2 linked regions of the Arabidopsis thaliana genome follow. The protein of the gene in region 2 interacts with the protein of the main gene of each other region in a pairwise test. Each region holds a gene or a part of one and is shown on either strand. Other genes may lie near its edges.

Region 1 (6,668 bases), on a different chromosome or scaffold from region 2:
TCATTAACAATTTCTGCCCCACGGAATCCTCCGTAAGCATCTTCAAGGTCTTGTGGTGTGTCCCAATGGAAAATGGTTGCGAAAGGCTTAATTCCTTTAGACAAAAGCTCATTGATCAAGTTGTTGTAATAGTCAATACCAGCTTGGTTGATTCCTCCTTTAAGATTCCCACGAGGCAAAATACGCGACCACGAGATGGAGAATCTATAGGCATTGAACCCAATTTGATGCAATAAACCCACATCCTCCTTGTAAAGATGGTAAGAGTCATCTGCAATAGATCCGTTGCTACCATCTTTTATCTTTTCTGGGTATTTTTCAGAAAACGTATCCCATATACTAGGTCCTCTACCATCTTCCTGAGCAGCTCCTTCAACTTGGTACGCAGAGGTTGCAGCTCCGAAAATGAAATCTTCTGGGAAATCAGTTTTTCTTAATTTAGGTGTTGAAGAGTGTCTCTTGGCAACAACTTCATTGGAAGCCAAGATGATGAACACTAGTACGGAGAAATATTTACTTGTCATTCTAAATTTTTCTTTTGATTATTGAATCTTTGTTTGTTGTAATATAATGAATTATGTCTAGAGTTATATAGGCAAGAGATTTGTTTTTACATTGGGTATGTGAATCTATAAATAGAGAAATGTAAGATAGAGATGGTGTAACAAATCTTTTAATTTTTACTTGTCCATAATTAGTGAATAGAAGACTATTGAAATGATCTTATCTAGTTGTCTTTCTAGTAGGAAAAAATTAGAAACACACTTGTAAATATTTTCCTTTTTCTTGTAACTACTTTTTTTATCCAACAATTTTGTAAATTCCCAAAATAATTCAAATAACTCTCTCAAGACTCCATTATAAACTATTCTTTTTTTTGTTAAATCCATTATAAACTATTCACAATGATCTTAACTAGTTATCGTCTTTATGATTTATGTCTCGAGAGAGTTATTTGAAATATCTAAGAAATTTACAAAAAAAAATGTTTTCTGTAAGTTTCAAACTAGTTTTAGAAAATCGTGAGTGTGGATTTGCATAAGATGATCAAGCTGTGTCCATTTTCTTGTTAACGTAGGTCTCTTATTGCAAAACCAATTTTTTCTTCTTCTTCTCTTCATGCTACGAGTCTTTTCTCTCTCGCTAAGGCTAATCTCCCTTTATTCTCTCACCATTCTTGTAAAAGCAAAGAACATGAGCATCAAGAAATTAAATTATTGAAGGTCCGACATGGAAGTGAAATTTGTAGAGTTGTAGTTAAACTTTGAAATACGAGGCCGAAATCAAACTAATCGTTGGAGTGACATAGAGTTGGGCTTCACTTTGGATCGATAATAGGCCAACTCATTTCAGTAGGAAGTACTTGGAGTGTTTTTCTTTTGTACTACACGCATGTACTACTTTTCTTTCATTTCACATCCAATAGAGTACTACTTTAACACACAAAGCTGAAAACTCCCAAAATTTGGTAGGATACAAGATTACAAAACAAAGAAAAAAAGGACGGACCAAAACTAATCGTGCACATAAAGATCTCAATGAATTTAATGAGTTAATTATTTTTATACGGTTCGATTTAAACCAAAAATCAAAAATGGCATCCTCAAAGAAAATTTTGCATGAATTAAAGACCAGTTTGGTTCAATGTTTTGTCATCAGTAACTACACAAACAAATACTTAAAATTTAATATATCTACAATAGTTTTTGTGTGTATTATTTGTTTCTAATTGACTTTTTTTACACCTGCCTAACAATCTCCCTTACACGTAATGAACTTCCAATTTACACGGAGAAACAACCACCCCTGTTGACACGTGTCATCACCACACCGACCGGCGGTGCATCACCCTTAGCTAATCCGGCTAACTCCAAACGTCGATGAGCAGACGGACGAGGAAGATTCTCCGGTACGATGGTCTCTAGCGAGTTCTCAAGCCAAGGCGGACACGTCCTCTTGTCACTCCACCTCCGCGGCGGCACCACACCCGCAGCCATCTCTTCTACCGGCGATTTCACAACCGCAGCTTCCACTGATGCAACATCATTGATCTGAATCCCGCCGATTACGACAGTTGCCGCCACCCCCAAGACAAAAGAACACTTGTTTTTCCGTGGCTCTGTCTCATTTTCTGTTCTCCTACTAAACAATAAAAGAACAAAGATCATTGATATGAAAAATTATCAGGTAAATAATAACTTTTCATGAATAGAAGAGATACCAAGAGATCTTTGACGTTGTCTTGAGCAGTGAAGCTAATGATTGTGCAGAATTTGAATCTAGGGGAGGAAGATTTAGACAGCAGCTTATTCTCCCTGCCATTGTTATTCCTCTGTTTTCGTTTCCTTCTTTTTCTTAAGAATCCACCTAGAACAAATTTTATTTTATTCCTTTCACCTCCAACATATATATAACTACTAACCCATTCTTACTTGGGTCACTCATTTTTTCTTACTATATATGTATCCTCAAATTATTACATTTCATATGCGCATGCAATACAAACCACATCTAAATTTTTCTTCCAATATGTTCTTTCTCTATACTTAACTAAAGCCCAAAGAATGAACTTAACCTAGAAAAGATGGACTTGACCCAATAGCATTGGTCCGTTGGAGATGTTAGGTCCATACTCCATACAAAGACAAATTGAACAAAAGTCGTGAATCTGTTTGCTACGTCTGAATAACAACGTACACGTATCACGCCTTGCGAACAAATTATTTGACAATGATGGCCAATTAGCATGTGTCATCACTTGTTACCACGTCAACAAGGTTCTTGTCGGTCCGTTTAATTAATAGTAACCATCGTTTTCAGGAAAAAAATCCACATAAAAAGTTTCTAATGGCGAAACAATATTCAAATATTTCCTAACAACTACCATGAGACTGATTCTTTTTCTCTTCCGAAAAATTAATGAGACTGAGTCCTAATTTTTCTTATAGTTAATTTGGTGACCATCAAAGAATGTAAAAGTATTTAGGAAACAGCACAAATAATCTGGCAATTACGGTCTACAACATGTTTATTTACTTATTTTTAAATTATAGAAAAATTTAATATTTTAATATCTTATATTTAATGCCCTAAATAACACTAAATCACACATATAAATAGCAGAGATATAAATATAGAAAAACATTCCAAGCATTTTTCAGTACTTAACATTTATACAGAAAAACAATTAAACATTTTTCAGCACTTAATAATTAACATATGTGAGAAATTCATAAACTCTATTAAATATTCATGAAAATAATGTATTTTTAATTTTATAAGTAATATCTCATGTGTCGACTTTTTTTATATAAAAAAGATGTAAAAAAGGTCCCAAGTTACTAAAATTCAATTTTGTCAACTTAACTCAAAATCTTTTTGCTATTAGTCTAAAATTTCAGATTTCCTTTCTTGCTATTTTTCAAAATACTATGTTTACTTCTCATATAAACTGTAAATATATCCCTTTTTTAATAAGAAAAAAAATCTCTCACTTCAAAAACAAAAAGGAAAAAAAAAAGCAAAGAGAAAAAGTAAATAATACGCCGACGTTTCGTGTTTATGTTAAGCTTCCTTTTTCCTTTTTCCTTTTTCTTTTTGCCTTTTAAATAACCGTCGGACTCATATTTCTCGCCTCCGCCGGCGAACAGTTTTATTATCTCTCTCTTTCTGCGTGTTCCAATTTCTTCCACAAAACCCTAATTTTCTCTTAAACCCTGAAATTCGTGTAACCTTTCAACAATCTCTTCAATTTTGTTTTCGATTCTGAATCCATTGTTTACGAATCTCTCATCTAAAGCTACATTCTTCGTTAAATCGTTTTTAATCGACTCGCTCACTCGTGAGTTGACTCGTCAGCTGTTTCCATAATTGCTTATTGAATTTTTATACGATGATGTTTCAATATGGAAGAAACTAGAGGAATTTCTGATCCAGAGAATGGGAGTTCGAGTTACGGCGGTAAACCGCCGAATCCACTCTCCTTCTCTTCTTCCTCCGCCGCTGCTGCCGTTTACAGGCAAACCTTCGACGGCGAGCGATCGTTGGCGCCGTGTAATAAGAGGTCACTGGTTCGACACTCATCTCTCGTAAGATTCGTTTCTCTTCAACTTGATTTGTGGATCAGTTAGGTTTATTTTGTGTATTGAATGATCAATTTAAGTTGAGGTTTTGTAATTATTGCTCTGCTTTTGGATTTGATCATTATTGGTTTCCTAATGTGTATAATTAAGGTAGAAAGTTTCTGTTTTTAATGTGTCATTATGAGATGTTTGAGGTTTTCTGATTGATTTTCATTTTGGTAGGTGAAGACAATGGTGTCAGATATATCTGTTGAGAATGAGTTTACTATAGAGAAGAACAAGTCTGAGTTTGTTCCTGCTACGCGTTCTGGAGCTTGGTCTGATATTGGCTCCAGGTCAAGCATGGAAGATGCTTATCTATGCGTTGATAATTTCATGGATAGCTTTGGCCTTCTGAATTCTGAGGCTGGTCCAAGTGCCTTCTATGGGGTATGTTCTTTCTTCAGTTTTCCTGATTTTTTGTAGATTTGTAGCATAAGCAAACAACTGTGAATGTAGTGAAAATATGGGGATCTCTTATTGAATTTTGTTTGTTATTAGGTATTTGATGGACATGGTGGGAAGCATGCCGCTGAGTTTGCATGTCACCATATACCGAGGTACATTGTTGAAGATCAAGAGTTTCCTAGTGAAATCAATAAGGTGTTATCTTCAGCATTTCTTCAAACAGACACTGCCTTCTTAGAGGCGTGTTCATTGGATGGGAGCCTTGCTTCAGGAACTACTGCTTTGGCAGCTATTCTTTTTGGAAGGTTTGTTGATTCAACTCTTATTATCTTTTAGTTTTGTCTAACCTAAACTCTTACATCTTGGTTATGTTAAAGAAAAACGTGTTTGGGAATAGATGCTTATCCTCAACTGCGTAGTGTGCATAATCTTGACCTTTAACACAATCATGTACAACTAATTCGCCTGTAGATGTATTCTCTGCCCATATGTGCTGCTGCTATAATGTAGTTATTGTCTCATATGGTCTTTGAGTCACGTATATACTTGCTCATTTCATACTCTATTAGTATTCTGGTATGAAACCGTTTGGTACCGTGTTAACATATAGTTTTGTGGTAACAGGTCGTTGGTGGTAGCAAACGCTGGAGATTGCAGAGCAGTCTTATCCCGTCAGGGAAAAGCCATTGAAATGTCAAGAGACCACAAACCCATGAGCAGTAAGGAAAGGAGACGCATTGAAGCATCGGGTGGACATGTATTCGATGGCTATCTAAATGGACAACTTAATGTGGCTCGAGCGCTAGGTGACTTTCATATGGAAGGCATGAAGAAGAAGAAAGATGGTTCTGATTGTGGACCTCTAATTGCAGAGCCTGAGCTCATGACAACAAAACTAACAGAAGAGGATGAGTTCCTTATAATTGGGTGTGACGGGGTTTGGGATGTGTTCATGAGCCAGAATGCTGTAGATTTTGCCAGAAGGAGACTACAGGAGCACAATGACCCGGTCATGTGTAGTAAGGAGCTGGTTGAGGAAGCTTTGAAGAGGAAGAGTGCTGATAATGTGACGGCAGTGGTTGTGTGTCTTCAGCCACAGCCACCACCGAACTTGGTAGCGCCGAGGTTGAGAGTTCACAGAAGCTTCTCGGCGGAGGGTTTAAAAGATTTACAGAGCTACTTGGATGGCTTGGGAAACTAATTGGGGGACATGAGGATGGTGACGAATGATTGATTTCTCTGTTTTTGTTTTGTCTTTTCTTACAATTTTATAGTTTGGGGTTTGGAGGTTTTGTTCTGTTAAATTCTCGCAATTTGAGTAAGTTATAACATGAGGCGGCATACAATAATTTATTGTTTGGTAGGATATATTTTTTTGTCACTTTTGCATAATAATAATTCTGCTTCAGTCTCATTTGTTTTGTAACTAGAAAGTTATTCCAATTCCTGCGTTTACCGAATATGTTGTGTTCTTGCAGAATGACGTATGTTAGATATGCAGTAAACTCGAGGGTCGGCTTTGACCACATCGCCACTTATCGGTTTGCGGATGCTGGAAAAGTCAGTCTAGTGATGAGGCTGAGTGAGCCATCGTCAGTTACTATTTTATCGTGAAACTCTGAACAACGAGATTGTCCCGGATATTCAAATGAGGAACAAGGCCCAATAGTCCGATCAAAGTGGGCTATTCGTATCGCTTACGAGGCCTATACGATGGTAATTGAATTCACGCGCATTCATCAGCGCGTGATTTGGAGTTGCTCAATTTCAGATCGCACAGGCTCTGTTAATCATCTCCTCCTCCGAAAGACAGAGAAAGAGACAAATCAAATTCATTCATATCAAAGAGATAGAGAGAAAATGTCCGGTGTGGCTATTCATGCGAGTTCATGGGGCGCGGCTCTGGTGAGAATCTCCCCGTACACTTTCTCCGCCATCGGAATCGCCATCTCCATCGGCGTCTCTGTTCTTGGTGCTGCCTGGTATAAATCCTTTTCTTCTTCTCCCCATTGATTTGCGAAATCATCATGCTTACGAAAACTATTTTGCTCTCTCTCTTTATGGTTTAGGGGAATTTACATTACCGGAAGTAGTTTGATCGGTGCCGCCATTGAAGCTCCTCGAATCACTTCCAAGAAT
Region 2 (7,044 bases):
AGCATCCATTGTTTTCCTTTTTCAGTAGGAAGCATGTCAACGAGCTTGAGCTTAGTGGTGACAAGTCTTTTGATTTCGTGCTCTGTGGGGATGTTGATCATGTTGCTTCCCCTGCTCTTCTTGTGCTTGAGATGGAGCGGGTTCTGAAGCCTGGTGGAACCGGAGCAGTCCTTGTGAGTACTAATGCCAATCGTCTTGTCAAATCCGTGACTTCGGGGCTTAAGCAGTCTGAGATAGTGCGTGTGAACAACTTGGATAAGTTCACCGTCATTGTATTCAAGAGGAATGTAACGGAGACTGCTTATTGTATTGGAAAGTCTCAGCTACCAAGAGATTGCAAATCTGTTGACACCAATAGACCTTACACAGAGTTCATGGAACCTCTACTGGAGCAAAAGCCTGCTGATTTCCCAAAATCAGTAGCTTACTTACCTAAATTCCTTGATCTCTCTCTGAAAAAGAGCCTTGTCTACATTGACATTGGAGCAGCCGAGCACATGGATGCTAATTTAACTCCAAACTGGTTCTTTCCGTTATACCCACTCGACAGCAAAGCATTCAATGTCTACTTTGTCGACCACAACACTTCAGTAATGCTATCCTATGTCAAGAAACCCGGCGTCACCTTTGTTTACCATCCGGATTTGGCTGAGAACAACTCGACAGGGAAAAAGATAACTCCGCTTGAACAGCTAGAACCATTTCCAGAAGATGAGAGATTCGATTTCCTTGCTTGGTTTGAGGAAACTGCGAAATACGCAGACTTTGTAGTCCTTAAGATGAACACAAACCAAGTGGAAATGAAGTTCCTAACTGTTTTACTGGAAACAGGAGTCATATGCTACGTGGATGAGCTTTTCCTCCGCTGTTCCAACCACAAGTCAGACTGCATCAACATGCTTCAAACTCTGAGAGCCAGAGGTGTGTTTGTTCATCAATGGTGGGAAGACTAAACCAATGTAAAACTCAATCTCGCTTCGCCTTAGTCTTATCTACGTCGATTCGTGTCTGTCTTTGTCTCAGTTGTAATGCCATCACCTTCTGTGTTTGCCATAGTTGGTCCTCGGCCACCACAGCTCCTGGCCAAGCACCTATAACTAAATAAGAAGCTGCCTATCTGTTTATCATTGCTATTTAAGAACTCAGTTTCCACTTATAATATATTGAACCATAACGTTTTACGTCTTAATTAAGCATGGCATATATTACACAAGTCGATTGCTTAACTAAATTTGTTCATTCTCCATCTCCATTTCATCCGTTCTTGTTAATCTCCAAAAGCATCTCAACAGGTTGTCTGCAAACTGGGCACAGATTTGTCTGAAACCTTAACGCCTTTGCGCACCCGCTACACATACACTGCCAAACAGAAATACACAAACCATTTCAAAAGAAGTTCAATTTTTTTTTTATATGAGCTAATTTTAAGTATGATGAACACTATACCATGTGTCTGCAAGGAAGAACAGTTGTATCGCGTGGTTCAGACAAGCATACAACACATTCCTTTCCCTCATCGGAACCATCAACCGTGTTCTCAATCCCATAAATCTCAAGCAGCTCATACCTCCTCTTATTCACCCATAGTATCTGCTTCACCACTTCTATTTTAATCTCTCCTTTCTCCTTGGTATACACCACTTGAGTAATCTGCACATTGGTGGAACCAGACTTTCCTTCTTCCGCTGGAGTTGCCTCCGCCTTAACCGCCAACGGGAAGACATCTGTATCCACCTCCTTGAATAGCTCGGAATCTTTAAACGCCGTCAAGTCTATACCCGTTCCAGATGATTGTATGAACTTCTGACCAAGTCCTTCTCCGAAATCAAAAGTGATTGGAGGCAAAGTATCTTCCTTTGTAGCTCTAAGATTACATTCTGCATCTTCTGTAGCAAAGAAAACAACTGTGATCCTGTTCTCGCCAACCAAAACAACAAAAGCTAAGTCATTTATATTACTCCATTGATTGATTCAAACAAGATTCAAACTTTTAACTAAATTTGATCATTTCATAGTTTGAAAGTAAAACCTTCCGGGCATGGATGCATCAAATGTGAAGGAGACAAGAAGTCGATTCGGATTCTCCGGGTCGGGTATGAGCGTTAAAGTCTTCTTCTTCAGATTAACATCGTTACGAATCGTGACGGCTTTCTGGTGGACGTACGTAGGAGGCGGCAGTATAGGGTATCTACCGCCGTGAAACAAAGGATGAGGTAGTTGGTAACTGTTGGGAGGATAGTGATGCAAATGGTTGAAATTGTACGGTAGCATCGGCGGCTCAGTTACTGGCGGAGGAAGGCAGTTACCTGGATACTGGTCAACGTAGTTAGGGTTAGGGTTCAGATATGGTGGCACGGCGGCGAATACAAATCTGTTCGGTGGGAGTTCAAGAGGAGCCGTTTCCATCGCCGGAGGAATATTGCTCCTCTGCCTTCTCCCGCAGCAGAAGATCAAACTGATCAGATTCCCCATGATCGGAAAAAGAAAAAAGGTGAGGTTTTTCGGTGATTCAGTTGATAAGGAGTAGAATCGAAGTAGGTTTTATGATCATTGAGAAAGGGGAGTAATGAGATTGGAGATAGCGACGTCGACGAAGAAACACCAAAACGTTTATTTGTATATATTATAAATTAGTATTAAACTTGATTAATTACCATGGGAAATTGATTATTACTTTTAATCACATAAAACAAAGAAATCATTATCAGTAGCACTAGGCAGGCAATAGGCCCAAGGCCTCACAACAATATCACGGTTACAAAATAAGAAGAAACGAAATGACAAAACCGGAGACACGAGATTGGTTTTGGAGGTTGATCGGAAAACAAAGAAACACATCCATTAATACCGGCGATTACAAGAAGCACTGCTCGTCATTAAGAAACATCTTGCACTGATCGTCATTAAGAAACATCTTCTCTTATGTCTGATTATATAGGAGATCATAATAACGTCGATAAAAAAGAGTTTAAAGTGGAAATCAACCAAGAAATAGAAAGCACTATCAAGATATATTTCAAAATGAATATTTCATTAAAATGGATTAAAAAATAATTAAACACTCGAGTTTTGATCTTGTCTTGTTAAAATTTTACTCATCGTGTTCCTCATAAATTGTCCCCAGCGAAGGCGAAGCTGAAACCCTCATCGGATAAACAAGAATCGCCGGTACAGTTTCGAATGGTCCGATCATCCTAGCCATGATTTGTAAATATACTCTTTCTTCGATTTAGACTTCGGCAGCTTTCGACTGTGTTGAGAAGATCTATGTGGAAATTATTGTTATTGCTGATATTTATAGAGATAGAGAGGAATAGTAGTAGTGTAATTAACTAATCATCAAGTGATCTTTATATATTTGTATACTTTTTTATAGGACGCAGCTTAATACTTATCGCACGTGATATTTATGTTTCATATTTAGGTGATGCTCGAAAGTTGAAACATAAGTATGCGTACACTGCTTTAGTTTGCAGATAAATCATACATGTCTTTATTAAAAATTAATGTAAATTAGATTCTTTTGGTTGAGAAAATGATCGCACCAAACAGAAATAGCGGTGAGACTGGTTTCAGGTTTAAGTTTGGTTTGATATTTGAAGATACTGATTTTTTGTCGTGGACCGGTTATCGTCCCGGTTCGGTTAGAAAGTATATTAAGATTTGTCTTTAATTACCAACTCGTGAGCATATAACAACAGATCACCGAGCGTACAAGATGTGAAAGTTGAATGAAAATTTCACAAAGAACTGAGATTTGATTGTACAAAAGATACAATACAAAATCTCATCTTATACAGTTATAGAAAAAACAACAACAACAACAAGAGTCTATCTTAAACCCAAGACCGAGTAACAAAATGATCATTACAATTTACACGTCCTCGTTTTCTTGTTCTTGATTGTCTTCTTCGGTCTCTCCGCCTTCTAAAATCGTCTCAAGAATCGGAGAAACCGATGGCTTCGCCGGAGAAATGATTTGTGGAGGAACAGCCTCCATCCACCACGCCACATCCACCACCACCGTCAGATTCTGATCGCACCGATTATCAAAGAAACACATATTCGCTTCACTAGATATTATTTTAGATTTGCGGAAGTAATTCAAATTGTTACTTTTTGAGTTGAATTGATACGTGTTCATTTGTTCGTATTTATAGAGAGATTGACGCGTGGAGATATGTGGAACAATGATGGGTTTGACGTAAGAGTCGGACAAGTGGACGATCCACAATGTTTAAGTTAGTTTGTTGACTTGGTCTTATTTGCTAATAATAATGAAACCAACACGAATATTCTAGAACCTCTTGTTGTCGTCATTATCAACAAGTCTCGAATGTGCAACACGTGTGAGCTCTTGTCTCACACGTCTATATCTCCGCTAAGATTTTTTTTTGTTGTTGTCAATGTTAGGATATTTCTTTATGCGTCGTATATTGCAAAATACTAGACACACACTTAGGGTTTGAAGTTTCTCAGCAATTGTGTGGGTACGCTTTGGACAAATACACTACTCTACAAATTAGTTTAGACCGCGTTTGACTCGGTAACGTTAGAAGCAGATTAGACACTAATTAGGCCCAAGTTAAACTATCATGGGCTCATTCGTAAACTTAGTTCTAATGGGCTCTCAACATCAGATCTTAATATTTATAGAGAGCATGAGGTCAAATGCGTAGTTCCGTATATGAGAATTATGAAACTGAACCCATAAGCATTTTAATCACGCTGAGGAAAGTAGCCACTTCTCGTTTAACTAATACGGTAATACCTCATTCTGCCTGTTTTATTGATTTGTTTGGATATTTTGGTGCAATTCGATTAAAAATGTACCTAGAAAACAAAATTAAAATTGAGAAAATAAAAAACGTACCAATTGATAGAAAAAAAGATTATTGTACGCTGAAAAAGTAGAAAGAACTAGATAATTTTTAGTGATGACAAAAACGAAAATCTTCTTTGTGAACTTAAATCGCTGGAAAACATGCCATATGCAGAGTTAATCAAAACATTATTAGCAATCAATTGATATATGTATATATAAATATAAGATGCCTTAGCTTTTTCTTATATATATAATTAGGTTAATTAGAAAATAAGTCAATGGCCTGAAAAGGATTGGATAAGATAAGGATATTTGAAAGGTTGCTTTCATTCTTCTTGCAATTTCCCCCTTATTTTAGTTTTCTTAGCTTATAGAATTCATCCCTCATTTTCCGTCATTTGATATTATAACATAAGATGCATGAGGACGACAAAAATAGAAATAATAAGTGAATAGGTAGGTATACCATGTACTTGTCACTAGACGATTCGATATTTTACATAGAGATTAATCTATTTCTAGGGAATTATTGGCACCTTATGATCGAACATGTCACCTAAAAAAAGTGAGCTTATCACATCGCATAAGTTTTGCAAAAATATTCTTAAACTAATTTTTTAATGTATGTCAGAATAATGTTTCATCAATCGAGAATATGGATTAGAGATATAATTCACTAGCAAAATTTTACAAACGGATTCTTTTTTCTTTTTTTTTTGATAACCGAAATTGATATATGCTTGTATAGGGTGGTCGAAGCTAAGGTCTACCATAGTTAATTGCTAATTTAATTATTATTAGTTGTAAAACACACAAGATGACATCATTATTTGATCTAACACAATAAAAATAGAATTAGGCAAATGAAAATCGGTTTAGTAAACGACAAATCAACAATGTCATGTGTTTTGTTTTCTGATTTTGGTTCAATTTAATTATTTCAAAATAATTTTCTTGATATCCAAAGATCCATTTTTAATTCTTTTATGAGAGAGGTTAGAGCTTTTACCCTCAAAGGCCTCGAAGCTATTTTTTATTTTTATTTTTTTTTGTAATGTGTCATTTTTAGGAGTCCATTTTTCGAACATAACATAAGCATAGATACAATACGGAGCTGATCATTTGACATAATATGAAATTTTCCAACAGTTATTTGTTCGGTGATAAAACAATAATTGAAATCCCAACAAGTAGAAGATATGCAACTAACAAGAAAGATTACGATCATACGGCTGAACAATGAGAATTTGATGTTTCTTAATCACGTAGGATTCTATGCATAATTAGAATATATAGGAATATTATTAAAGACAAGAGAAGATTTAAGAAGCTCGATTATTATCTTACTACATGCATTATTATTATTTGTTTTTTTTCTTGGTACTTGTGTTTTGTTATGTATCTCAAAGCTCCAATTATGTAGAGGTCATCGACCAATAATTAATCAATTGACCACACTACTCTATATTTTAAATAGTAATTGGTTCAACAGGCAAAGACGCTCTTTTATTTGACGATTATTTTCTAGTATAATAAAATCTCACAAACGTCATAATTTAGTTGTAAGGAAAGCAATAGTATAAAAGAAGTATAGGTAGTGTGAGTGCGACAAAGGAAATAAAACACATACAAGACTTGAAACTATTTATGAATTATGACTTCTTTGTTTTAGTAAGCTAAAGTGATACATAAATATAACATATTATATGTGGATATGTACAACAACAAATCTACAATGAATGTCTACGTGCATGGTGGATACACATCTTCTATACATGCACGCGGCATATATGATAATTCATGCAAAATTAAAATAAAGTATCGTTATAGGAGTTATTAGGCCATCTCCATTGGTAAGATACTTTAAAAGTTTCTAAAAAAAAAAAATATAATAATATTTTATTATGATTTAGTTTCTGTCCAATTATAAACACACATATACACATAGTCTCTCAATCATTACTCGAAAGTTTTTCTGCAGAGAAACTATTCTCAATCTCTCTTCTATCTCTCTCCTACTCTATTATTATTTTATATTTTTTAGTTAATAAGAAACTATGTGACAGACTACTAATGGAGATGCTCTTATTATCTAGTTGTGAATTTTGTAGAATTGACATATGTATTATACACAACTAGTTATGAATCTAGATTTTTTAAAAGATTTTATAAGGATTAAATCCACCTATTTTCATTGCTATATATTAACCTACAATTAT

What was found. The genes of interacting proteins can lie anywhere in the genome.
Region 1: the proteins of DIP2 (region 2) and DBP1 interact in a two-hybrid assay, tested with the Arabidopsis thaliana proteins (one study listed by BioGRID).

What each region holds. Positions count from the first base shown.
Region 1 is NC_003071.7:10,902,216-10,908,883, reverse strand, and holds DBP1 (DNA-binding protein phosphatase 1), read left to right. Parts: upstream 1-3,616; 5' UTR 3,617-3,905; coding exon 3,906-4,088; intron 4,089-4,304; coding exon 4,305-4,511; intron 4,512-4,622; coding exon 4,623-4,834; intron 4,835-5,153; coding exon 5,154-5,730; 3' UTR 5,731-5,889; exon of another isoform or gene 5,890-6,007; 3' UTR 6,008-6,168; downstream 6,169-6,668. Other genes in the region: BGLU14 (beta glucosidase 14), read right to left, coding at 1-524; AT2G25625 (histone deacetylase-like protein), read right to left, coding at 1,785-2,142, 2,222-2,322; AT2G25610 (ATPase, F0/V0 complex, subunit C protein), read left to right, coding at 6,243-6,511, 6,599-6,668.
Region 2 is NC_003076.8:759,196-766,239, forward strand, and holds DIP2 (E3 ubiquitin-protein ligase), read right to left. Parts: upstream 4,286-7,044; 5' UTR 4,145-4,285; coding exon 3,875-4,144; 3' UTR 3,409-3,874; downstream 1-3,408. Other genes in the region: CPUORF47 (peptide upstream protein), read left to right, coding at 1-953; LUL1 (RING/U-box superfamily protein), read right to left, coding at 1,255-1,359, 1,447-1,912, 2,030-2,472; AT5G03204 (uncharacterized protein), read right to left, coding at 3,092-3,202.